Caenorhabditis elegans: one gene and its partners. The protein of the gene in region 3 interacts with the protein of the main gene of each other region in a pairwise test. Each region holds a gene or a part of one and is shown on either strand. Other genes may lie near its edges.

The links.
Region 1: the proteins of F16B12.6 (region 3) and sma-9 interact in a two-hybrid assay, tested with the Caenorhabditis elegans proteins (one large-scale study listed by BioGRID).
Region 2: the proteins of F16B12.6 (region 3) and hlh-33 interact in a two-hybrid assay, tested with the Caenorhabditis elegans proteins (one large-scale study listed by BioGRID).
Region 4: the proteins of F16B12.6 (region 3) and ing-3 interact in a two-hybrid assay, tested with the Caenorhabditis elegans proteins (one large-scale study listed by BioGRID).

The regions. Positions count from the first base shown.
Region 1 is NC_003284.9:10,771,298-10,776,115, forward strand, and holds the start of sma-9 (Transcription factor sma-9), read left to right. Parts: upstream 1-1,793; coding exon 1,794-2,357; intron 2,358-2,409; coding exon 2,410-2,565; intron 2,566-2,633; coding exon 2,634-3,171; intron 3,172-3,595; coding exon 3,596-4,047; intron 4,048-4,232; coding exon 4,233-4,308; intron 4,309-4,532; coding exon 4,533-4,818. UniProt on the Caenorhabditis elegans protein: Transcription factor, probably acting as a transcriptional activator and repressor, involved in the TGF-beta-like dbl-1 signaling pathway.
Region 2 is NC_003281.10:1,853,448-1,860,127, reverse strand, and holds hlh-33 (BHLH domain-containing protein), read right to left. Parts: upstream 4,737-6,680; 5' UTR 4,736-4,736; coding exon 4,486-4,735; intron 4,078-4,485; coding exon 3,947-4,077; intron 2,702-3,946; coding exon 2,549-2,701; intron 1,877-2,548; coding exon 1,688-1,876; intron 1,559-1,687; coding exon 1,356-1,558; intron 997-1,355; coding exon 861-996; intron 721-860; coding exon 559-720; 3' UTR 525-558; downstream 1-524. Other genes in the region: ddp-1 (Mitochondrial import inner membrane translocase subunit Tim8), read right to left, coding at 62-235.
Region 3 is NC_003284.9:14,100,381-14,108,336, reverse strand, and holds F16B12.6 (DUF7747 domain-containing protein), read right to left. Parts: upstream 6,022-7,956; 5' UTR 5,979-6,021; coding exon 5,913-5,978; intron 5,744-5,912; coding exon 5,414-5,743; intron 5,360-5,413; coding exon 5,157-5,359; intron 5,110-5,156; coding exon 4,819-5,109; intron 4,754-4,818; coding exon 4,429-4,753; intron 4,382-4,428; coding exon 4,217-4,381; intron 4,168-4,216; coding exon 3,891-4,167; intron 3,825-3,890; coding exon 3,652-3,824; intron 3,393-3,651; coding exon 2,893-3,392; intron 2,838-2,892; coding exon 2,609-2,837; intron 2,559-2,608; coding exon 2,469-2,558; intron 2,417-2,468; coding exon 2,276-2,416; intron 2,223-2,275; coding exon 2,041-2,222; intron 1,987-2,040; coding exon 1,826-1,986; intron 1,751-1,825; coding exon 1,071-1,750; intron 1,024-1,070; coding exon 658-1,023; 3' UTR 424-657; downstream 1-423.
Region 4 is NC_003280.10:13,874,453-13,882,052, forward strand, and holds the start of ing-3 (Inhibitor of growth protein), read left to right. Parts: upstream 1-1,581; 5' UTR 1,582-1,609; coding exon 1,610-1,637; intron 1,638-1,703; coding exon 1,704-1,775; intron 1,776-1,828; coding exon 1,829-1,932; intron 1,933-3,317; coding exon 3,318-3,842; intron 3,843-4,974; coding exon 4,975-5,589; intron 5,590-7,600. Other genes in the region: ndub-8 (NADH dehydrogenase [ubiquinone] 1 beta subcomplex subunit 8, mitochondrial), read left to right, coding at 565-766.

The DNA of each region.
Region 1 (4,818 bases), 3.3 Mb from region 3:
CCATCCAAAGTGAGGGAGAAAAAGAGAGAAAAAGAGTGAAAGAGTGCTTTTCTGTGCACACATATCACTTGGTCTGTTAGTGTCATGGGACCCCGGGGCATTTCCTCCTGTTTATCGTTTTCTCTGGGTTCAAACGAGAAAGGATCTTTCGGAATTGTCAAGGCTCAAGCATCTCTTCTGAGCCAATGAGTGTTTTTTCTCTTTATCACAAATGTCTTTTACTTTTTACACGCTTTTTACAAGATTTGAATGATTTGTTTCCGAAGAGATAGAGAAAATAAAGATATTAATCATGAAAACTTGTTAATAGAGTACCGTAATTGGTGAGGTTTAGCTTATTTGAGTGCAGAAAAATTTAAATCTTGAAGTTTTCTTGGCGAAAAATTAAAAAAAAAACAGCAGAACTGTGAAATAAATATTTGCAGCTACCAGATACATCTATTTTAGTCATTTGAATTATTGAGAAAAACAGACTACATAAATGAACTACAGTATACAACTTGAATTAAAAAAGGAGTTTTTGACTGAAAAATAACCATTTTCTAGCTTTAATAGACATAGTTTTTGGCTTTGATTTTTTGTTAACGAAAGCAACTAGAAAACATTCAAATTTCAAATGTATTTAGTCATTTTCTGCATATCAAAACTATTTTTTTAAACCTGATGCTCCAAGTGTTTAGTTAAATTTATATGTAATAAATAATTTTGTTTTCCATTAATATCAGTTTTGATAAAACTAAAGTAATACAGTAGTTATCCACCACAATTTGGTGCCCTGATTGTCCTCTTAATATTTTAATTGTACGAAATTTTGCCATCAACCAACCACACTCACTTTTTTTGGTAACTTTTCTTCCCATTTCTCTACTTCTCTTGCATTTTGTTATTTCACAATAGTCCACTCTATCTTCTTTTTCCAATGTCCCTCTCAAATCATTCGCGCCCTGTTTAGCACCCATAGAGTCATTGATCACTTGGCCAACAGCCGGTCTCCCGGTAATGATAACGGGAAAAGTCAATGAACATTGAGTGAGAAAAAGAAAGAAAGAGAGAGAAAAGGACAGAGAGCAGCAAATGTGTATGTCACACACTCTTTTAGTCTCATAGAATACTAATCGATCACAATCACAAGTTACAAAGAAGTGTTGAACATTTTCAAGAGCTGCAAATCTGTGATAAGGTGACGAAGAATTGAGGTGACGTACTCTTTTCCCGTTTTTTTAAATTGTGATAGTGTGAGTGAAAAGATTGCGCGAGTAATGGGTAACCGTTTCGAAGACTGAACTGCATTCATGAGAGCCTCCAATCTGTTGCAGGAGTCAAAGTGAGGCAATTTGCGTCTTGATTTGATATGAATAGAAAAAGAATGAACGACAATATATTGTCTTCTGTTTTGATTAATGATTTATTTCAAGACATTGTATACAGTCTTAAAAACATTTGGCAACGGTTTTAGTAATTGTTATTTTTATTCCCCTTCATTCATTGTAATGAAACATATTAGAGAAATCAGTATGAATCAAATCAGAACGACGTTTGAATTGATAGGAATGAAGAAAAAACGTGACCACTCTTCCCCGAATCATTAAAAGTGAACCTTGTACCCAGTTTGCTGTAGACAAGTAACTTTCATGCTAATTATGGTCTCATGTGAACGTCACATGGTTCCAATCACTTTCTCATTATTTTTTGTAATACGTCTTCATCTCTCATTTTCCCCCTTATCTCACTTTGTTTTACGATGAACTTAACTTACATGAATCAAACTTAAAAAGTGGTTTTAGAATTGGCGAATGAGCCATCAGGCAATTGGAATCTCGAACAACTTTCAGCAGGTACAACGTGAGCAGCTAAATCATCAACGATTATTACAAGCACAGCTCCAGACTAATGGACCTGGAAGTGTTTCTCAGCAGCAGCAGGCTTCGCAGCAACAACAGCAAGTGCAGCACGTCCAGCAGCAACAACAGTCGCAGCAGCAACAGCAACAAGTTGCTTCACAACAAAACCAGCCGCAATTGCAAATGAATGCTCAGATACTGCAAGCTTTGTCAACACCACAAGGACAAAATTTAGTTAACATGCTTTTGATGCAACAGGCACTTAATGCGCAACAGACTGATACTCAGAATCCACAACAAATTATGCAACATCAATTAGCTCAACAGCAGGCACAACAAGCTCAGCAAGCTCAACAAGCGCAACAAGCTCGACAACAGGCAGAACAACAAGCTCAAGCCCAAGCTCGTCATCAAGCTGAGCAGCAGGCTCAGCAACAGGCACAGCAACAGGCGCAGGCACGGCAACAAGAACAACAAGCTCAATTAGCAGCTATTCAACAGCAAGTCACGCCACAGGTTTGTGTTTAGTACAAAATTGATAATTCGAAACTTTGATTTTTATTTTAAGCAATTTGCTCAAATATTGCACATGCAACAGCAGCTTCAACAACAGCAGTTTCAACAACAACAGCTCCAGCAGCAACAACTTCAGCAGCAGCAACTGCAACAGCAACAACTTCAACAACAACAGCTCCAGCAGCAACAGTTACAACAGGTTCTACAGGTGAGTTGACACAGAAATAGCATGTTGATAACTTGAAATTGGCGTTATTTTATTTTTTTTTTCTTCAGATCTCACAAGCCCAACAACAAGCTCAACAAGCTCAGCATGTCCAGTCTAGACAAATGCAGCCGTCCCAACAGAGCCAGGTACAGGCGCAACTCCAGCAGCAACAGCAATTGCAGCAGCAACAAGCTCAGCAGCTTTCACAGCAGCAGGCGCAGCAGCAACAACAATTACAACAGTTACAACTGCAGCAATTTCTTCAACAACAGCAACAGCTTCATCAGCAACGTGCGGCTGCCCAACAAGCTCAGGCTCAGAACAATGCTTCACAACAACGCCCGTCGGTTGCATCGACGCCTGCATTGTCTTCAACTCCACAGTTGAATGATCTTACACAGACAATGCAAGCCCAGCTTCAACAGCAACTGCTTCTCCAACAGCAACAGGCTCAGGCTCAACAAGCTCAACAAGCTCAGCAAGCACAACTAGCTCAACAGGCTCAACAGCAACAGCAAGGGCAGTCTCAAAATAGAACAGTTTCTCAAGCACTGCAATATATTCAGTCTATGCAACTGCAGCAAAGAGCCGATGGAACCCCAAACGGTACGTTTAAATTTTGTATTTTTCTCTGTTTTCATTTTCTCACGTTCACACGCTTCACAACTCTGTGTCTGTTTCCCTTCTCTGTTTTCCCAGTTTCTCCCTTCCCGTTTTCCATCGTTTCCCTTTTTTGCCAGTCCACATACGTTCAACCACACAACCACACCACAACTCTTTGAAAATTATCCGATATACGTATATGACATCAAAAATATCATAGAACATTTTGTTTCCATTTGTTTTTTTTTGAAATATGCATGCAAATAGATAGTGTGTAAACCAACAATAATTAGAAAGTGATAAAGAATGAGATTTTTGTAACCATTACTTCAGCTTTTCTCCTGAATCATCTTCTTCTCTTTTTCTGTGCACCACCTTCTAACCATTGGTTGTTCAAACACGCTTACCCAATATTTTTCCCCTTCAGCAGAGTCACAAGAAGAGAGGTTGGCTCAAATGCTGAACGAACAACAGCAGCGGATGCTGCAAAATCAGGCGCGCGAGGCACAACATCGTCAGTTGCTCATTTCTTCGACGCCTGCTCCTCGAGGTGGTATCACCATGGGAACTCCAATTGGTATTGCAAGGAGAGAAGAGCAGCCGGTACCGTCTACGGTGGCGGTAACGACGGCACCGGCTGCAGTCCGCACGCCTGTTGCTGTGCCACCTATGAAACAAAATTCTAACCCTTCCATGAATCCATCATCCACATCTACGTCTGCATCTGCCACAAGCAGTCATCAGATTTTAGCCCCCTCGCTCTCCAAACCACTTGAGCAGCCTTCCTCGTCGAAGGCCGCATCGTCTGGCAACGAGTCGATGTCGGACCACATCAGCCGAATCATCTCTGAGAACGAAGTCATTCTTCAAGGAGACCCGGTGAGTGCCGAATTCTTCTAGCGTGATGGGTTTTCTTTTTTTGAATAATTCGCCCCCTGGAGTTTGATGAAATGATACGGAAACAATACCAGACCAAAATAAAACAAAACCTTTCATGTTTTTATTCATAATTTCAAATCTCATTTGTCCTTCTGTTTGACGTCTTCGAATCTGTCCATTTACAGGTGATTCGCAAAAAGCGGCCATACCATCGGCAAATAGGTGCGCAATCCTCGGTCGATCACGACAGTAATAGTGGTGGTGAGTTGTGGTGTGGTTGAGTTTCTTGAAAGCATCGCTCCATTACCCTTGTCCTTCTATCCCAAGACAAGATATTGTCTCCTTCTATTACTCGCCCCAACGTTTCCGCTATACCGTCTCGATTTGCATGCCAGTGCGTGTCTGCACGTGTCCATATCTGCATATTATATATTGATGAATATTGTGATTGTCCCGTTTGTCCCTTAATGTTTTATATTTTTCAGGATCAACAAGAACTTCGCCTGGGCCAAAAGACAGTCGTATGTTGCAAGCTGCTAGTCGGAGCCAGAGTTTATTCGAGCTTAGTGGATCAAAACATTTCATGGGCAGCTTGACTAGTGGTCAGCCATTGCTTCGTCCGATTCAGGCACATAATGATCCTAACTACACACCGGAGTGTATATACTGCAAACTCACGTTTCCCAATGAAGCTGGTCTCCAAGCTCACGAAGTTGTTTGCGGAAAGAAAAAAGAGCTAGAAAAAGCACAAATAGCACAAGAAGGAAACCC
Region 2 (6,680 bases), on a different chromosome or scaffold from region 3:
ATTTTTTCTTCAATTTTCCCATAAAATTGCAGAAAATTGCCAAATTTTCCCAAATTTTTACCTGAATACAGGTCTGAGTCTTGCCGTCCATCTTGCTTGGCGGACGGTAGTCGGCGAAGCACACATCCCAGCAGCGACCGGTGAGCGTGTGCACTTGTTCGGTGAATTTTTGACGCTGCGTCTCCGCCTGCAGTTGCTGGAGGAATCGATTGAGTTGAGGGTCGGCCGAGTCCATTTCCTGTGAGAAAAACTATAGATTTGATGGGAATTTTGAAAAAAATTGCAAAAAAATCGCTGAAAAATGATGAAAACCCAACGAAAATGATGAAAAAATAAAATAAATTAATTTCATCGCAGAGTGCGCAAGCAACAAGAGAAATGCGCCAGCAACCTCTCCTTGCGCATTCACAGTTTTCGGCGGTTTTTCAAATGATAATTAACTTCGAAATGATTTTTCCGGAAATTTCCCAGTATATTTTGCAGTATTTTAAACAAATTCCCGTCGATAATAATCAAATTTTGTAAATAAATATTTATTTTATTCATTTAAACCCATAACTATTGATTTTGAGCACCAAGTGGCCCTTGCGGGAGCATATATTGGGGGAAATTCAAAAACGGGGGGTTTTGAACGAATTGCATCAGGTTTTTCAGCTCCCCTTCTTTCGCTGAAATTCGTTTTTCCAGCAGAAGTCGCTCACTTTGTAGTCGGAGCCAAATCTGGAAAATTGATAGTAGCTGTAGTTGAAAAGTCGATAATTTGAATTAAAACCGTGTTGCAAGTGCGCTCTATTGATAAAAACTAGTTTTTAGCGATGATTTATTGATTTTACCATTAAAAATCGATAATTTTCACATACATCTTGATAACCAGGTGATAACATGTCAAATGGGTTCATTCCAAGTGTCGGAATCGGTTGAATTAGTGACGTGGACGGATGGATTACTGTAGTTGGGCTCAAAGTGCTTCTCGGAGTTGGAATAGTGCTAGTTTGGCTGAAAATTTACATAGTTTTGCAAGTTTTTTCAGAAAAATTAGAAAATTTTTTTTTTTTGAAAAAATCAATAAAATCTTACATGTTAAGAATTTTATTAACATTTTTAACTTTCGCACGCTTAGAGCTTCGGAAAAACTCCGAAATTATGTCACTGACACAGCTGAAACCAGTGCTACAGTACCCCACGTGACGGGACCCAACTTTTGAATAAATTTGTGAAAATTTGAACCCGGGCATGATGGGGGTCATTTGAAAGGTCTTGTTGAGCTAAATTTGAAATTTTCAGTTTTAAGGGTCTCGCATGGATTTTGGAGTAGATTACTGTAGGTTTTAACGTTTTTTTTTGTTAGAAAAAACCTCTTTTTCCCAATTTTCGCCGATTTTTGTGAATTTCCATCCGACTTCTCATCATCCAACGGATAACTTTCCACTATAACATTCATCGATCGTAGTCTCTTCCGTTTTGTGGGTACTGTAGGTCGGCGGGTTACTGTAGGTTTCACATTGGGTACTGTAGACGAGGTGGAGGAGCCCGGCGAGAGGAAGGAGCTTGGGGAGCTCTGGAATTCAACAAATAGTGTTAAATAATTTTTTAGAAAAAAAAGTTCCGAAAAAAAAAATTTCAATTTTTTTTTTCTCAAAAAGTTTGAAATTTCCCGCCAAACTATTAATTCTTATTAATAACTTACCACTTTCACACAATTATCCTCTTTTCGCCTCAAAAGTGCCGCCAAAATCGGGCTTTTCACCTCCAAACTCGACGGCGGGGGCGGTGTCTTCTGAAGGGGCGAAGCTAAAATGGGCGGAGCCTTGGGTACAGTAACCGGGAGAGCTGGAAGCTCATCAGGCACACAGACTAAAACTGTTTCCGTGGGTTTCTGGAAAAATTTTGATTTTTAAAAATTTCTAGGAATTTTTGAAATTTTGGAAAAAAAAATTTTTTCAATTTTTTAACAACTAATTTTTTTGGTTAAAATCACGATTTTGAGCCAAAACTCGTACATTTTCAAATTAAGCACGTCCAGAGCTTCAAAATAAGGCCCATCATGCCTATATTCCGTGAATGATTAAAATTTCGGGTCCCGCCGCGAAAACTTTCTGGGTTACTGTAGTTTGGTTGTTTTTACTGGTTTTACCAGGTTTTGCAGGTTTTCTGGGTTGCTGAGAGTAAAATTGTGATTCTCAGCTAAAAAAAAATTGACAAAATAAGTTTTTTTTGGTAAAAAATTTTGTTTAAAAAAATTTTTTTTCACAAATTTTCGAAAATCTGTAACTTTCTTAGTTTTCACTATTTTTTCTTAATTTTTTTCTTCAAAGTTAGCTCAGTGATCACACTTTTTTGAAAAAAATTGAAAAAGTTAGTTTCATTCAAAACTACAGTAACCCTGCCAGTTTTCGTGGCGGGACCCGGAAAATTCCCCCAAAATTGCGGGAACCTAGGCATGATGGGTGTCATTCAAAAGCTATTTACACGCCAAATTCAAATAAATTAGTTTTAAAGCTAAATTTTTCGAATTGTTCGAATTGAAAAAAACATTTTAATCCCAAACCTCCGCCGATTCCTTTATTCTGCACGTCATTGACTTCGCCATGAAGCTTTTGAGTTGGAGCTCATTGAGCATTTCTTTGGAAGTGAGAAATGACAGTTTGGACGTTGAATCGTAGTCCAGAAAACATCGGATATCTTTTCCAATCATACGTTTCTGAAAAAAAAAATTTCATTAAAAAATTTTTTTTTCTTTTTTAAATATCTCAAAAACTAAAACAGCTATTAAAAAGTTGTTAACTAAAAAAGTGTGTAGAATTTCAAAATGAACATTTTGTTAGTTGAAAACTTTTTGATAACCATGAAATGGGCGGAGTTACGGAAGGCAGCAGCTACGCCCATTTAATGGTTACTAAAAAGTTATCAACTAGCGAAAAATTCAAATCTTTTGCAAAAATTTTGACAAAAATTGTTAGTTTACAACTTATTTCTAGAATTTCTAACTTTAAAAAAATTTAGTTTAACAAAAAAAAAAAAATTTTTCAGAAAAAGTCCAAAAAAAAAAATTTTTTTTGAAACTTTTTTCGAAAACTTTCTAAATTTTTATACTATCTAAAATGTTATAAAACATTTTCCAACCGAAAAAATCCCAATGATTCACCAAATCCCCCCCCCCCCACCCCCGGTCCACCACCAGTTCACCTTGAAACAAGTCAGCTGACACACAGTCCGAAAAAATCGAATTTTTTTTGGGAAAAAGTGACCTTGATAATATTTCCCCGAAAATATGACGACATTTTGTTTACAAGGAACATTTAATTGGGGACGCCTGTATGGGAAAAAATTTGGAAAATTAAAAATTATAAAAAGATGAAATCCCACAAAAAAAATTTTGGGATTTTTTTTTTTCAAAAAAATAAACTCAAATATCTTCAAATCTAGAAAAGCTAGAAAAAAATTGTCAACTGAAAAAATTTGCAGATTTTTTTTCATGGTGAAGCTTTTGTCGGTTGAAAATTTTTTGATAGCCAATAAATGGGCGGAGTTACTGAAGCTTAAAGGTTGCTACCATTTAAGGGTTAGCAAAAAGTTGTCAACTAAAAAAGTGTGCATTTGATTGTCACGCCCGTCTGGGACAAAATTTGGAAAATTTTACAAAATTAAATTCCAAAAAAAATGTTTTGAGAATTTTTTTTCCCATTTTTTCTAATAAGCCTATGCCTAAGCCCAAGCCTAAGCCTAGGCCTAATCCTAAACCTAAGCCTAAGCCTACGCTTAAGCCTAAGCCTAAGCCTAAGCCTGAGCCTAAGCCTAATCCCAAAAAAATGTTTGAAGCCTAAGCCTAAGCCTACGCCTAAGCCTACACCTAAGCCTAACAATTATTTTCAGAGGCCTGTAACTCTGCCCATTTAATGGCTTTTTGAATTTTTTTTTAAATCGAAAAAAAATCAATAAAACAAACTTTTTCAATATCAAAAACTGCCTGATGGTCTCCCTTAATATCCACGACAATAAAATTGTTCAGAAAAACCATAAAACAGTTGGTCAGGCTGAAAATATCCTGGACGAGCGGGTCGGAGAGCAGCGGTGGTTCTGGAAAATGGAGGAAATTGAAATTGACTGAAAATTCCGAAAATTTCGAGATTTTCAGCTTAATGGCTTTCAAATTTGAGTTTAGCTCAATGATTGCTTTAAAATGACACCCAACATGCCTTGGTTTGAAGGTAATTTGAAATTTTGGGTCCCGCCACGAAACGGATCAGGGTTACTGTAATAGGTTGAATTTATATTTTTCTCGGGAGGAAATAGAGTTGTTTTACCGAGTTTTAGAGTAAAAAACAAAGAAAAAAGCTTTGAAAATCGAAAATTTAGGAAAAAAATTTGCAAAAAAAAAAGAAAAAATTTTCGAAATTTTTTTTCAAATTTTTTTCCAAATTTTTTCAAAATTAAAAAAAAATTCCAAATTAGAATATTATTACTAATTTGAATCTGTAGACTCACTATAATCACTATTCCGAATAATATCAACAGTACTCCCAATGATAAAGCATTTGTCCAGCTGACGAGGCTTCTGATCCACTCTTCGCAGCTTATGAGCCCGAATATCTTCGGGCAAAAGTGTCGACATTTCACAAATCACTTCATTCATCTCTTCCCTTCGTCGTTTTTCATGCTTACTTCGTGTTTCTCGCTTTTGAATAGTTTCTTTCCGAGTTCGCGGCTTTTTGCAGCTCTGCGGGGAGTCGGACATTCTGAAAAATGTACTATTAAATTTTAAAAGCTTATATCTCGGTTAATATTAAAGGTAGGGAGAAATGTTAAACAACAAAGTTATAGAGAAAAACATGATGAACATTTTGTCAGTTTACAACCTTTGGCTCAATATTAACCGAGTTATGGGCTGTCAAAGTTAGGAAAGGTCGATGCAACATGTCTAACTCTAACTTTGACGGCTAGTATCTCTGTTAATTTTGGAGATATGGAAAAGTGCTCAACTACAAAGTTATAGAGAAGTTCATAATGAACATTTTATTAGTTATCGATTTTTTGATAAAAACAATGACAACTGAGATATAAGCTGTCCAAGTTTTTGATCGATGCACCATGTCCAGTTCAACCTTTGAAAGCATATATCTGTTGAGGATATCAATAAATTTATATTAATAAAAGTATATACATAACCAAATTGTAATAAAAATTAAATTTTCTGATGAAAAGACATTTTTTTGAACTTTTTAAATTTTTTTCAAGGATTAAAAAAAAATTTCAAAAAAGTTTAAAAAAAAATTTTGGTGAAAATTCAAATTTTCTAACTTGACAAATATGTACTTTTCATTGTTTTTTTAAAAAAATTTTATTGTAAAAAATGTGTTATTGCCCTAAAGTTTCAGAAAACCCATTTAAATTTTAAATTTTTGAAAAATTTACTGAAAAATGAAATTTCTTCGGTAAAACTGTAGTATCTCAAAGAATAATTGTGCAAATTGCTTGACATTTTGTCAGAATTAGCGTTAAATATATTTTTATTTTTCTTTCAGAAAATATCAAATTTTTGATTTAAACTTTTGGAAAATGCAAAAAAAAAAAATTTAAAAATTAAAAAAAAAAATTTTCAACATTTTTATTTTCTCAATTAAAACCTAAATTTCTCAAAAACTACCAAATGAATTTTGGTGAAATTTTACCAAAATTTGCGTTAAAACTTTATCTTTCAGGCAATTTACTTTAAAATTTGACAGTTCATTTGAGTCCAAAGTTATAAGACCTCAAAGTAAGCCTACGTACAAAAATTATTTACCGAGTTGTATAAAACTTTTGTCAAAAAAAAAAATTTAGAAAAAATCGGAAAAGTGATCAGATGGCAAAAATGAATGGTCTCCGCCGTCTTCATCGCCCCCAACACTCGAAATTGCCGCATTTCTGCGTCTCTTTGATTGTGTGTACTCTCTCGTGTGCCTCGGAATAAGTTGTGTGTGTGGGGGCAGCTGGTTAGGGGAGCGTTTTTTGTATGGCAGAAAGGGACTTTCAAGGTCACTTTCTTCATTTTTCTCCCTCTACGGCTTTCATTTCTGGTTACCCCGGCGGGGAAAACAATATTTTGTAAAAAAAAAATTTTTTTTTTGGAAAATTTTTTTCCGAAAAATCAATTTTTTTTTTGGAAAACCAACTTCAAAAACGAAATCCTCGCATAATTTCCCACTATTCACATTTTTTGCCGAGTCTCTAGCTCAACTTTTGATTTTCTCTGAGTACGGTAGCGCCAAAAGTACGCAAACACCGCCGCAGCTCCTACGACAAAATGCACAGCTTCTCAGGATTTGGTAGCTGAGCTTTGGAAATTGGGTTTCCGGAGTGAAAAGAGACGTAGAATTCATATTATTGATCGAAAATTTACAGTTTTGAATGAAAACCGAAAAAAAACTACACAAAAAGCTTCAAAACGTTCTATTTCGCCCACAATTATCAAATTTCAAGTAAAATTTCCAAGAAATTCGAATTTTCCTGCATTTTTTACCTCTTAAACCATTTTTCCCGATCTTCTAGCTCAAAATTTGATTTTCTCGGGGTAATGCACAACTTTCCAAATTTCAATGTTCAGGCTCCAAAAATCGGGCCCCCGAAAAAATTGAATTTCTTCGAAATATCGATTTTTCTCGTAATTTTTCGAAAATTTCATTGTCAAATTTGAATTTCCC
Region 3 (7,956 bases):
ACATTTGATTTAATTTTTGACTTTTTTTCAATTTCTTTGAAATAAATGGCTATCATTGAAGACCGGTGAGTACCCTGCACATAAAGTGACGTGTTTGAAATTTTTTACAGAACCTGGAATCTAGGTCACAGAGTTGTTTGTAGTAACGGACTTGAAACATTAGGGATTTGCTTAACCAAATTTTACCTTTCAGATGTTTCTGTTTCGGGTGAAAATACAGACCAATAACTGGTTTTCATGGGGGTTGTATGCTCCTTTGCAGCTGGGGCAAACATAAAAAATTACGGAGCTTGGAAAATTTGGCAAATCTACTTTTTTGAAATTTACCGTGTTTGGCAAATTTGCCGCACATCCATGCTTTGCACCTTACATTAAAATGTTGTTATTCAGATATTCAGCCGAATACCTTTTTTTAAACTACTATGCATTATTATAACTTCATCTGTGTCAGTGTATTATGTTTGATTTTCAATTTGCTGAGAACAGAAAAAAGATCACCTTGTCATTCTATAGTGGCAAAAAACATTTGGTGTAAAACGGAATAATAGATAGATATGACATAACACGGATTTTAAAGGGTAAAACAATATTATAAGATCAATTTAATTTACAGTTATATGATTTTTCGAACAATGTCTGTTCCAGTTAATCATAATTTTAAACCATAGGATCTTCTGGGGCTTCAATAACTTCATGTTCCAAATGGCCTTGTACTTCAGGATGTTCAATGTGTTCCTCGTGTCTTCCCAGTTCCTCGTGTCCGACAAGATGATTACCAGGATGCACAACAAGTTCTTCTTGCATGTATTCGACACCTTCCTCCACAATCTCTTGGTCGCCAGAGAAAATGTCCACGTGGAATGTCTCATTGATCATTTGGAGCAAGCGCTGCTCGTTCTTTTCGTATAATAGTCGGAACAAGCTGTCAAAAGTGTCATCAATGCACTCCGAACCAAACTGTTTTTGCGCAATTCGCCAAAGAGCATCATATCGCTGAGATCCACGAACAAATCCAGCAGTAGTCTGAAAATTGAGAATTTAAAAAACGAATCAATTATACAAACACTAACCACGCTTTTCTCCAAAAATGGATTTCTTCTCATCATTGATTGCCCATAGACGTCTCCAACTTCTTCAATGTGCTCGACAATCATGTCTCCTCCAATCATCATTTCGTGACCCATGATTGTTTTTGGAATTTGCTCTTCAATCACCACCTCTTCCACAGTCTCAGTTTTAGCCGATGTCGATGGTCCTGCACCATCAGCTCCGGTCCATTCAGTGACAAAAGTGTCGTTGTCAGCATGAGAACCAGAAAGTTCTCGCCGTTTGAGACTGAACAACATATTTGGACTAATATGAATTCCATGTTCCTGATGAATTATCTTCGCTGTTTCATTTACTGGGGCAGTTTTCAGCAAATGGAACACATCCTCTCTGATGTTTGATGGAAGGCTGCTGAACCATTCATCAGTCGAAGGTTGAATAGTCTTCTGAATTGGCTGTGGCACAGCTCCGGGCTCAGTGTAGCTGTACATGATCAAACCGTGTCCATACTGGTTTCCGTCTCGTTGCACATAGACAACTTTTTTGCGAAGCCGTGTGCAGCGGGGCAATGTTGCAGTGTAAATGTGCAACTGGAATTCAATCGGATCCACGGCCAGAGCATTCCCCTTGCAGACTCGCAGTTGATTGTGACGATTGAATCCGAGCGGAGTTTTTGATGATTTCGGCCTTTTGGTTATTCCATCTGAAACTAATGGAGCTTGCGGGAAGTTACTCAACACGTCTATGAAAATTTTTGTAAAAAATTCATAAGACTTACGAGGATTAGAGCAAGTGTTTTCTGACCACGGAGTCAGTTTATCTGTGGTCAATGATCTAAAGTTGACTTCTTCTCCGTTCACAAAAAAGACAAATGTTCCTTTTCCAGTTATCGATGGTGGAAGATCGGGAACTTTTGTGTTGAGGCATCCGAGTTGTTCACTGAAATTACTTTTTTTAAGCTTAGCTTTTCTATTTTTCTTTCAATCAACTTACACCAAATCAGATTGATTGACCAAGTACTGAATCTGTCGGTTCCGGTCATTCCAGAATTCCAAGTCATCGAGCTGTAGGTAAAACGTCCCATCAGCAGCAGTCTCTGCAGGCAATATGAATGGGCAATCTCTGCTCTCTTCGCCTTCCGAGACATCATTCATCAAATCATGCTGCATATGATTCTGTAATTATTGTATTGTTATTAAGTCAAAATCTTATGATGTTAGAAACATACGGTTCTAGCGTAACTCCTCTTAGTGAGTGGCTTGTATTGGCCAGCGTTGAGACGTGGGATGTTGCCTTCATGGTTGTAGTCGTACATAATCAATGCATGACTGACAACCATTTTTGATTGGGTTTCCATCAGGTAGTAGATCTGAAAACCAAATTATTAGTTTATAAAAATCAAATAACATTGTTTAAAACACCTTTTTTCGCAGTCTAGGCTCCTTTGGATTAATCGAATACAAGTAGACGAGATGGAATGGACAAGTTTTGTAGTTGGTATTTTCTTTCAGCTTAAAAACAGTTTACGTTTAAAACAATAGTGCCAGTAAATATTCCATACCAAAAACGTTGAATTTTGAGGATCGCAAATCACTCCAAGCTTTCGAACTTTTGTACGATAGCAGGTCGGCTGATCAGGCGTTCCGTTGCGAGACCATGGTGAGAAGTCGTCGCGATTAATGTCATGGGGGAATATGGCAGTACCGGCTACAAAAAAGGCGTAGGCCCTAGAGTTGGTGACCAATGGTGGGTGAGACGGTTTCGTGTCGTTCAGGACACCACGCTCCTCACTGAAATATTTGAAAATAGTTGAAAATCAAACTGATTACATTTTCAAGAACTTACACAATGTTCGAATTTGCAATCCATTCGAGAACATGATCCATGACGGTAACCAACTTTTTATGACGAACAGTCAAGTATACGTGACCCGTTGACAAAACACGGGGCTCATCATAGTATGCATTCGGATTCTCGGCTTTATCAATCGGATCATCATTGAATTCTGGATCAAATCCGTTGTTCAGCGTATCGGGATACGTTAGAAGGTTCTCCATCTGATCATCCTCCTGCTGAACGAGCATTTCCTTGTGAACGTCAACGACATCAACGATTCCGTCATCGTCAACAGGAATCATATCATATGAATCCTGCTCTACCATCATGTGAGAGTGCATGTCCATTGAATTGACCGGCTTTTTCAGTGGTGATCCTCCTGACCATCTACTGTAACTCTTCGCGTCCAATGGTGGGTAGAAGGTTGGCAACGGACCGTCGTAAACAAACTCATACGTGTAGCAGACATTTCCATGAATAACAGCGCCGGCTTGTTGGATATAGAAAACCTGAAATGATTGAAGAATTGCAATGTACAATATTTTTTATGACATTATTTATGACTACTGCACTATAATTTCAGTTCCGTCAACGGTCTGATAATTTAGCAGCAACAACCCCAGGTGGTGTATGCCCTTTCATTTTGTTAAATATTGCACAGCGTGTGGTGTAGATTTACGACGCAAAATTTAAGTACGCAAATTTAAGTACGCAAACTTAAGTACGCAAATGTGCGTCGTGGTACTTGCGGACTGTTGGTTAACTTACCCTCTTTCTCACTCTTTTGCATCTGGCAAGTGTCGACATTGTCTCTACGAGAATATAGTCGGATGGAGTTTTCTGGTCTCTTGATACCATAAAGTGATTGTGAGCTTCGTCCAATATCAAGTTCTTCTTTGTTGACCGCACACGCACTGTCGGTGTTCCTTCGCCAGCGCCTGCTGAAATTTATCAAAATTAAAACGGTTAAACGACCGCATATTGGTGCTTCGCAAACAGCAACTCACGATTAGTGGTCCATGGAGATAAGCCATCAGCAGCGTGGTGAATTTGGTTGACAACATGACAGGCCGGAACAAAATATGCAAAGACTCCGACCGTCTCAATCAGTGGCGGAAGATCTGGGAGGCGATTGTTTAGAGCGCCAAGTTCATCCAGAATGTCAACTTTATTGAATAAATAATCCAGCAAGTTTTTCTTGTTCTGAGCCCATCCCAATTTGTTCGGACGCAACCTGAGGTAGACTCCAGCTCCACGGGTTCCTTCTATGCGTTGCGGCTCAAACTGAAAGCATAAAATTATAAATGAGGTAACCAATTATATAATTACAAACCGGCAAATCATTGTCAAATCCATCTTGATCATCTGTGACTGCTCTTCGCAGATGATCATTGCCATGAGGAAGGCATACTGGGATTGGGGCATTTCCTGGATTCACATAATCATACAGAATAAGCACATTTCCAAAGATTTGATTGTCACGGGTCAGGTAGAAAATCTGGAAAGAAAATCAATGTTGTGTTCAAATATCTTCAGTTTAGCTACCTTTTTTCTCAGTCTCTGCTCCCGAGGTAATCTAGCGCTGTACTCCGTTAAGTGATACTCAGCGAGACGTGTCTCATGCTTGACTGTCTTCAGCTCGCCATTGAGTCGAGCCACCGGGTGTCTTCGAACATTTGGCTTGATTGTGTTTGGGCCGCCAGTCGTGTTCTGATGATCATTTGTCACACTCCACGGACGGAGGTCATCGTTGGAGAGATCTTTAGCATTTTTCTGCTGACTACCATCCACGTAGAATGCGAAGCATACTTTGTCGGTGACAAGTGGAGGAAGACGTGGTGGTCTTGGAAGAAACCATCCTGCTTGCTTTCTGAAAATTTATAATGTGCTTAGATTATTGATATCGCATTGCAACAGTTGTCATTTTTCACTTACATCAACTCAATTTCGTCCGGGTTTGTGAGGAGATCAATAATCCGCTCCTTTCTCAGCAGCTCAGTCAGGCACCCATTCACCACGGTTGCATAGGACTCTCCGCCGGGGGTTGTATCCAACTCTTCCTCAAATAGCTTAATATGCCTTTGATTAGCAGTGGCGGTTCTAGCAGCAACTGGCTCAGTTGGTGGGGCTCGCTGAGCTTTTGAAGCTGGACGGGTCAGTTTCAATTTAACATTGGTCTCCAGCTGCTCTTGTGGTCGACGTGGACGTCCTCTTCGCTTGCTCAATCTGTAAAAAAAATTAAAGTTTTGTCATTACATAATGGATTTACGTACGGGTGCCTTTCAAGATCTGGAGGGTGAGCAAAGTCATTAACACTATAGTCTTCGTCGCTTTCCCTGTAACTTTCAGGTTCAGTTTCAAAAACAGTAGATGGCCCGAGCACTGGAGGTCCTTCGTCATTGTGAGGAACCTCAAATTCCATTGCAACTTCCAGGTTGGCTCCATCAGTCATCAACTGATCATCGAATTTTGGAGTCTGTAATTAAGAAAAAAGGATTATTTAAGAACAAAGGTTTTCTGTGTTTCTCACTTGATTTGAGTTCGCCCTATGTGCAACTGGTGTCTCCATCATTTCAGCAACATGAGGAGGAATCTTTCTTCTTTTCGCTCCTTTCAGCATATCAGGCATCATAGCAGTTGAGTTTTTATCGGTTCCAGTAGATACCTCTGAAACAGCACTGGTCCTATTTGGAGTTCTTGAAACTGATGGAGTCCGTTCGGGAGGTGCAGCAGGCGCTGAATTCACAAGCTCATAGTTCTCGTTGTCGTATAGAGTGTTTTTGCGAATATTTCGCCGTGGTCTGGACGATTGTACAGTGGTGTCCTTTGCAGATTCCTCAGGACACATCGGCAGAGGTTTCTGAATTTTATTTTGTGTTGCATTTTTAGCTTCATCTGTTTTTTTTTGTTTTCACAATTCTCTCATAATGCTTCGCAACTTTAAATTGAGAGAGAATTTTTCAATGGCGTCATTATCGGTGTCTACAGACTAAAAATTGCGGAAATTTTCAAAGCCTAAACAGTTTTACCTCTTCTCCGGCTGGCGTTTCTTCGGACGGTTGTGCAGCACTTTTTGTTGAGTTTCGGCGAGGCATTTCTAAACTGAATAAGTTGAAAATTGACAAAAAATAGCTTGAAATATGAAAAAAAACGATGTGAAAAGAAGGAAAGAATAACTGGCCGGCTGACGCGCAAGGCGAGTGGCGAGAGAGCGCGTTAGATGACAAAACGAGGTAAGAGAGTGTGGTAAACGGAGAGACCGTTCACTTGCTGTTTCGCGCGCATTCACACCCCTCTCCCTATCGGTGTGAGTTGGAGCGTATTTGCATTGTTTGTTGGTGATCGACAATGTTGGGCAATTGTCGAAGAATCAACCCAATAAATTTAGCAGAACTTAAATAGGGCTATGTGGTGAGGATGATAAACTTGTATGTGTAATTTGAGTGACAAGATTCAAAAATCTTACGTATTTTTCTACAAACCTTCTTTAAATTTACAATTTTTGCATCCTAAATGTGGTACTAATTAAATTGGGCGCCCTCCTTTCACAAATAGAAAAGTCTACAAAAAAAGAAAACTCACGTTCACACGTTTCGAGTACAATTGACATTTGGTTTAAGTTGTGATTGCCATTATTACTCATTAATTTTAAAAAAATCCTCAAAGTGCAAGATAAGTAAATTTAGCAACAGATAATGCAACAGATGTGCTCCATAAAAAACTTTTATGGCAAAATTTAGAAAGTTGTAGGGAGATTAATATTTTGACACCCAAGACTACACAAAGTATGTACTTTAAAAACCCATAATTGTTTTCATTAGTAACATTTATAAAACATGTTTAAAAAATTTATTCTAGATTAACTGACAATTGTTAAACTGCAAAGGAGGTGGTTAAAGAAGTTTCACATTGCATCATAGTCTTCTTCGTTGAAGTAGATATTGAATTTGTCGATCAACTTCTAAAATATAAAATTATCATTGTTTTTCGAAATTAAATCAAATTGAAACCTGTTGATCCTCGTCCAAAGAAATGTCGAATGTAGCTTTTGGTGGAACATGCTTTCTGAAAATGGCAGTGAAAATTTTATTTACATGCAATTTTAAATTTTTTGATGAAATCTGATTTTTTTATCTTTAAAAACATATTAAACTAACTTATTTTTCAACGCTTTTGACATAGCTTTATCCAAGACAAACAGCTGCTTCACTGCTTCATAATTGGGTTCATCTTTGAATTCGAGCATGCGGCACGATTGAAGCATATCGTTAATCGGCTGTATTCCACAAAGTGAACAACTTTTTTGATTGCCTTGTTTCAAGTTGAAATAGTTTCTATGAGTATCATCATTGTTCACACTCCGTCCTTCTTTCCAGCACATAGTGAGGTCAAGTATTTTCCTCAAAGAATAAACCAAGGACTCCATGTCATCTCTTCGGGTATTTCCTGTAATTAGATAGTTCGAACAAAAAATATTTGGTTTAACCTTTCGTCTTGGTATTGTTAATAGAATTTTTTTTGAAAAAGCTGAATTCTCAATCAGAAGTGCTGATACAAAAGCAAACAAAAAACTCTTACCAAAACATTGTTCATGGTGCTGATTGGCACTCATGTAAACATAAGTTCCTTTTCGATAATGGCGATTATGTACCTCTCGGTGATTTCCTCTATCATCAAGAAACGATTCTGCTAATCCAAAGTCGATGAGCTAAAGGTATAGTTATATTGACTATATGTGTCAAATTGTTCAAATAATCATGAGTTCACAAAACATTTAAGGTAGAAGTAACATACATTAAGCTGATTCTTTTTTTCATTGAGACCAAATGCAAAATTTGCTGGTTTTATATCACAGTGAACGATCCCCCTATCATGTATTGTGTGAAGCAAATCGATCATTTGTCTTGCCAAGTGAAAAGCTTCCGGAACTTCCAGTTTTCCGCCGTACAATTCAGCATACTCAAGTAAGTTTAATCCCAATAAGTCGAGTTGCAAAATAGTTGCGTTTTGCTCTGTCCGGCGGATAGCAATCTGGAGGTCACGAGTTCAAATCCGGTCTCACCCCCTAGGTTC
Region 4 (7,600 bases), on a different chromosome or scaffold from region 3:
CGCCCTAAAACTTAAGTTTTTCATAATTTTCCCCGATTTTCTGATAAAACTCCGAATTTTTTCCCTTAAAAAAGTGGATTTTCGTATTTTTAGGCAGTTTTTTTCATAATTTTTTGAAAAAAAGAGGAATTTCTCGTATTTTGGCTAAAAAAATGACGAATTTTTTTTGATTTTCCTGAAATTTCATTGATTTTTTTTGAATTTCTCGTCGGATTTTCCACAGGTTTTTTAAATTTTTTAAAGGATTTTTCAGTTGATTTTCTGAGATTTTTTCACTAAATTGAGAATTTTCGTTCGATTTCCTGGAAATTTTTTTGACATTTTTCAAATTATTTACTGATTTTCTTGCCTCTTATTACGGGTTTTCACCGATTTTTAGCGAAAAAATCTACCGATTTTATCGATTTCGTATCTCTCGGATTTTCTTGAATTTTTGCAGCGATTTTTAGTATTTTCGGTGAAAAAAATGTGGATTTTCTAAATTTTGCGATTTTTTTTTAATTTTCGGATTTTTAGGCTGTTTTTTTTTGTTTTTTTTTTCTAATTAATTTATCCAATTTTCAGCTGGAACTCGATCGTTATGTGCCTCCGCGTGCTCGTACCGATGGCTCTCCTCGCCTGGTACTTTACCAACGAACATCCGAACGCGCTCCGTTGGAAGAATCCGGCAATGCCGAAGCAGTATTCATACGATTTCTACCGTGCCTACCCGTTCGACGATCCACGCAAATACCCAATTGTCAACTATTCGTTTGATTTGGAATAGAAAATTCCTTAGTTTCGGTTGTTTTTTTTTTGGTAGTTTTCTCCGTTTTCTCCTTTTTTGTACTATAAAATATTCGAATTTTATCATTTTTTTTTTTGCCTTTTTTTTGCCCTTTTTTCAGCGTTTTTAACGCTTTTATACCTATTAATTCGTTTTTTTTGTTGCTTAAAATTGCGCCTAATTGAAAAAAAAATTCCTAAATTTTATATGATTTTTTGAAAATTGAAAAAGTCTCAGTTTTCACCCCTAATTCCTATTTGAATTACCGCTAATTGGATTTGTTCGATGGAGCGCGCTTGCACGTTTTTAAGTTTATTTATTTTATTTTTTGTTATTTTCCACCGATTTTCAATTTTTTTTAGTTTTCGGTGTATTTTTACATGAATTTTAGAGAAAAAGTCAAAATAAATGCTAAATTTCGATTAAAAAGCACGCTTACAGGCGTAAAAATGACAAAATTAATTAATTTCACTGATTTCGGTCTGTACGCATGGTTTTTATTCGAAAATTTGCATTTATTTCGACTTTTTCTCTAAAATTCAAGCAAAAATACACCGAAAACATTAAAAATCGGTGGAAAATAACAAAAAATAAATAAATTTAGAAACGTGCAAGCGCGGCGCTCCAACGAACGAGTTCAATTGGCGGAAATTCAAATAGGAATTAGGGGTAAAAACTGAGATTTTTTCAATTTTCAAAAAATCATATAAAATTTAGAAATTTTTTTTTGAATTTGGCGTGTTTTAAAGCAATTTTCCCACTGGCGCTACGCTACTCCACTTTTAATTAATTAATTATTTGGAAAAAAAATTCAGAACTCGGCGCTGGACGCCCCCGCACAAAATGCTCTTCCTCGATGATTTTTTAGAAAGTAAGTGGTTTTTTTTGTTGCAAACTTTTCCCCTATAAAAACACCCAAATTTTCAACGTTTTCCAGTGCTCGATGAGCTGCCTGCCGAGCTGAAGGAGAGAAGCGATGAAATTCGGCGAATCGACAATGAAGTTGAATGTAAAATTTCGAAATTTTTCTGAATTTTTCCCTTCATTTTTTCGAATTTTTAGCCCGTCTAAACCGTAATCGAGAGGCGATCAACGATTTTTTCGAGAGAACCGGCGTAAATATGCCCGAGGAGCAGAGAAAGGAGCGCTGCAAGGTTTTGCAGGAGGTGAATTTCATGAAAATTCCTGGAACTCGAATTTGGCAGCAAATTGACACGAAAACGCAGGAAAAAGTTGATTTTTGCCACAAAAACGGCTAAAATTCGTGAAAAATGAGAAATTTCGCTATAAAACCCGTTTTTCTAGCTTTTTCGTGAAGAAAAATGAGAAAAAATGGGATTTTTTTGTACTTTGCCTGATGTCATTTTTTCACTTTTTAAGCTTTTTTTTCCCACAAAACACCAAAAGTGCTCAAAAATACTCAAAGTGAATGACGTCTAAAAACACTAAAATGAGGTCGAAAAACTCAAAAAGTTGCTCAAGATCCGACCAAGTTGTAACCTTTTCGGAAAAAAACCTAAAATTAGAATTTTGTCGTTTTTGATCGTTTTTTGAAGCTTTTTCTTCACAAAAATAGCTTAAAAACGCAAAAATTAGCCCAAAACGCTTATAAATCTCAAAATGCATCCAATTTTTCAAAATTTTCCGCTAAAAATAAAGGAAATACCGAAATTTTCAAAAAATGAGCATTTTTCCGCGAAAAAATCCCAAAATTCCGCTAATTTTTCAGAATTTCTCGGAAAAAAACGGTCGAAAAAATTCCTTTTTTCACTGAAAATCTTTTTTAAAAAACAGGACAAAAAATCGCAAAATTCAGACAATTTTTCGGAATTTCTTGTTAAAAAGTGAAAAAAAAGCTGAAAATTTAGCTTTTTTCACGAAAAAAAATTGAAAATTCAACTAATTTTTGGGAAAAAACATTTACATTTGCATTTTCTAATTTTTTTTTCGTGGTTTTCTAAAAAAAACTTTCAAAATCTCAAAATACAACCAATTTTGCCGAAATTCTTGGAAAAAAACCCTAAATTTGCATTTTCTATTAATTTTAAAAGCTTTCTCCCCCAAAACTACCTTATAATCCCAAAAAATCAGCCAATTTTTCTAATTTCTCTTTAAAAAAAAAGCTGAAAAATTAGCTTTTAAAAAAAAAAAAAGCTTAAAAATCCCAAAATGCCAATTTTCCAGATTTTCTCGCGTTGAAAGTGAAGGAAATGCCGAAATTATAAAAAAAAATTAGCTGTTTTCACAACAAAAAAAAAGTCGAAACCCCCGAAAAATCATAAAATCAACCAATTTTTCAGAATTTCTCTTTAAAAAGTAAAAAAAAGCTCAAAAATTTGCTTTTTTTTTTCAATAAAAATTTTAGAATTCAACCATTTTTTCAAAATTTCTCGTTAAAACGTTGAATAAGCTCAAAAAAAAGTTTTTATCACAAAAATAGCTGAAAAATGGCAAAATTTCTCTTAAAAAATGAAAAAAAAAGTTCAAAAATTTGCTTTTTCACAAAAAAAAAATTGAAAAAACCCAAAAAATTGCAACCAATTTTCTTCAGGAATTCTCCACAATCCGCGTGCTAGCTCAACGCAAATATCTAATCGCCGAAAAAATGCAAGAACTCCTCAAAAAGTACAAAGTTCACTTGGAAAAGGAGAAAACCACGTTCCAGTGTGAAATGGAGGCCGACAATTCAGGAGTGACCGAAATGATCGAAAAACGATATACCCAACACGTCGAATCTCTGCTCACAGCGAGAAAAGAACGAAAACGTCGTCATCGCGTGGGCGGTGGTGGTGGTGGTGGAGGATCGTCGTCGAGAGCATCGACAGTCGCTTCGGGACCACTTTTATCGAAAGAATCAAAGGACAAAATTCAGCGGATCCTTCAGGAAGGTGTTCGTCTTCGAATGGATCTTTCCGATGAGTCGGCACAATCGGCACTATCATCGGCTATACCATCACCAGCGCCACGTGGGCGCCCGCCAAAGATCGCAAAGGATCAGCTGTTGCTGTCGTCGGCGGCGATGGTGGTGGCCAGTGATGATTGTCTGACGCCAGTGCCACCAACACCGACGGCTAGGGTGAGGAGCTAGCTGAAAATTCGAGAAAATTCGCAAAATTTGGAGCCCACCTACCACGGCCTCCTGTTCAAAGAACTGGCGAAATTTCGAATTTTAGCTAAATTTTGAATTTTCAAATAATATTTTTCAAACATTTTTGAATTTCAGCCTAAAATCCGCAAAATTTGATCGTACAAAAACCTCACAAAATTGATAAAATTTTCCCGTTTTTTGGGTGTTGTTACAAGAAAAATTTGACGAAATTTCGAGTTTTAGCGTAATTCGTCTCTTTTCAACTATTTTTTTAGCCTAACCGCCACATTTTTTAATAAAATTTACGAAAATTGGCCGTTTTTGGGTCATTTTGGACCGTTTTCAGCTAAAAATTAACTTTTTGTTTCGAATTTTCAAAATTAAACGAAATTTGGCTCTTTACTGACTAATTTTTAAGCCAAACCGCCATGATTTTCTGGAAAATCAGCCTATTTACAGGAGGACTAACGGTTTATTGACCCAAATTTTGTGCTCAAATGAACGAATTTCGTAATGAAACTGCTCGAAAATGTATTTATGGCGGTTCAAAATTTCGAAAATGACACTGATTTTAGCTAAAATCTCGAATTTTGGTCATTTTTCCGTGTCACAGCTGTAGGAAGTTGGTTTTTTTTGGAATTATCATCCTTCATTGCATATTTTGGTAGTTTATCTCATTTAATTTCATTGATTATGGTAAATTTAAAGCCAATAGGTAACCAAAAATCATTAAAATTGGTCGCCTATAGGCTTTAAACAGACCTTAATAAACGAAATTAAATGAGATATTAAAACCAATATATGCAATCAAGAATGATATTTCCAAAAAAAGCCAACTTCGGACAGCCGAGACACGGAAAAATGACCAAAATTCGAGATTTTAACTCAAATCAGTGTAAGTTTTCGAAATTTTGAAGCGCCATAAAACATTTTTGAAGAATTTTTGAGCAATTTCAGTATGAAATTCGTTCATTTGAGCACAAAATTTGGGTCTATACGTTCCAAATCGTCCGAACCGTTAAATAGGCTGATTTTTCAGCCTAACCGCCATTATTTTCACGAAAATCAGTCGTTTTTGGAGTGAAAAAACTAAAAATTCTCTAATTTCTCCAAATTTCAGCGCCGCTCAAACACAAATGCTCTCCGCGGCACAGTCTCCATTCCAAGTGCTCTTTCATCAATGATGAATCGTGGTGAATCGACATCCCGCTTCTCACCGAATCCCTCCGAACGTAGTTGGTCAAACGCCGGAATCGACGAATCATCACCGACGCCGACGACAAGCCTACTGATGACACCGACGTTCTCCTCAGGACCGCATATCGTCGTTTCGCCGACGACTCCAGTTCTCCAGAATTCGGCGTTTGTGGTGTCTGAGAGCCGTCATGGTAGAACTCGGAAGCTGACCAGTAGAGTTCAGGAGATGTTTAAGGAGACTCTACAGCGGCAGCGGAATCATGGAAATTCAATTATAGCACTACAGGAGAGAATGAGTGCGGCGAATCTGGCGGCGGCGGCTCAGCACGCTCACGCTCCGACGAGCTCTTCACCACAATCACCACTTCCGGAGATTGAAGGAGCCGCCGAGGATGATGATGAGGAAGGACCGAGTTATCGGATTAAGCGGAGCCATCCGATGATGGCTCCGGGATCGGAGGATGAGGAGGATGAGATGCATTGGTGTTTTTGTAATGAGAAGAGCTATGGAGATATGGTTCAGTGTGATAATCGTCATGTTAGTGTGGGCTTTTTTAATGAAGGGAAAAATTGAATTTTTCTCCGAAAATTGAGCGAAAAATTCAAATTCCCAGCAGAAATAGTGCGAAAAAAAAATTAGATTTTTTTTTGTTGTTTTTTATTACCAAAAATTGATTAAAAAATGTGAATTTTCATCAGAAATAATGCAGAAAATTACTGTTTTTTTTTCTTCGAATAGTGCGAAAAATTGAGTTTCCATCCATTCAAAAAATCAAAAAATTTGGATTTTCACACGAGAAAACAGTGCGAAAAATATATAATTTCTACCTGAAAATTGCAAAATCATGTTGCTATATTTGCGGTGAAAATTCACTTTTTTGGTTAGTCAAAGATTATCAAAGATCTTATTAAAAAAAAAAAAAAAAATTTCCATTCAAAAAATCGAAAATTGAGCGAAAAATTCAAATTTCCAGCACAAAATCAATAATTCGTAATTTTTGATGAAAATTCATATTTTTTCATGGAAAATTGTACAAAAAATTCAAATTTCCACCAAAAATTGAGTTTAAAAAGTGAAATCAGAAATAATGCACCGAAAATTAAATTTTTGTTTCAAAAATAGTACGAAAAAAGTTAATTTTTAACCGAAAATTATTTTTTTTTTAATTTGAATTTCTACCACAACAAAATGCTTAAAAATTGTTAAATAGAGTGTTTCCTTGGAAAAAATCACAAAAATGAAGTTTTCACCAAAAAATTGCGAAAAATATATAATAATTTCTACCAGAAAATGCAAAATTTTGCTTTTTTTTACATTTTTATCGAAAAATTTCACGAACATTCAGAAAAATTGAATTTTCACCAAAAAATTGGAAAAAGTTGCAATTTATATTATTTTTAGGCTAAAATCAACAAAATTTCTGCGTTTTCAACGGTTTTACCAAAAAATGTGTTACAAAAATTCGAAATAGTTGAGCGAAAAAATTAATTTCCACCTAAAAATTGCAAAACTTTGCTATATTTTTGGTGAAAATTCGATTTTTTGTTGGTATTATTATCAAAAAATTTTACAAAAAAAATAGAATTTTCATTTTAAAAAAATCCCGAAAAATTAAAATTTCATCAGAAAAATATTTTTAAAAATTGATTTTCCACAAAAACATGCTCTTGAATTACAAAAGCAACTGAAATAATACGAAAAATTTAGATTTCGAAAATTAAATTGAATTTCCACTGTAAGTATTTCAAAAATTAGAAAAATTAAATGGAAACAAACACAAAAAAACATAAAACACGAAAACATGATTTTTAAAAAATTGTTTAAAATAATTACAATGTGGAAATTTCATTTTTCGCACTGTTTTCGGTGAAAACTCAGTTTTTTTCCACAAATATTACAAATTACATCCATCCATCTGAAATTTACACCAAAAACCTTTAAAACAAAATACAGAAAGTCTGAAAATTTCAACAAAAAATTCTAATATCTAAATTTAAAAAACATTTCTACCAAAAATCTGATAAACTGAATTTTCATCGAGACCATCACCACCAAAAAACTAATTTTTGACCAAATTGAGTGCGAAAAATCGAATTTCCATCAAAAATATTATAAAACATTTTGTTTTCTTCGAAAAGTAATGCAAAAAAGTAAATTTCCGCCACACAAATATATTTAAAAAAAGTTGAATTTTCATCAAAAACTACAAAAAATAGAATTTGCCTGGAAAATTCTAATTTTTTCGAAGAAAACAAAATGTTTTATAATATTCTTGATGGAAATTCGATTTTTCGCACTCAATTTGGTCAAAAATTAGTTTTTTGGTGATGGTCTCGATGAAAATTCAGTTTATAAGATTTTTGGTTGAAATGTAAATTTTTTATAGCACTTTTGTAGCTATATGTTTTTTAAATTTAGATTAGAATTTTTTGTTGAAATTTTGGAAAAAATTATGGGAAAATGGTAGATTTGTTTGTTTGTTTTTTTTTGTTGGAAAATAAAAAAAGTAATAAAAACCACAAAAATATCAGTAAGTTTCAACCTAGAT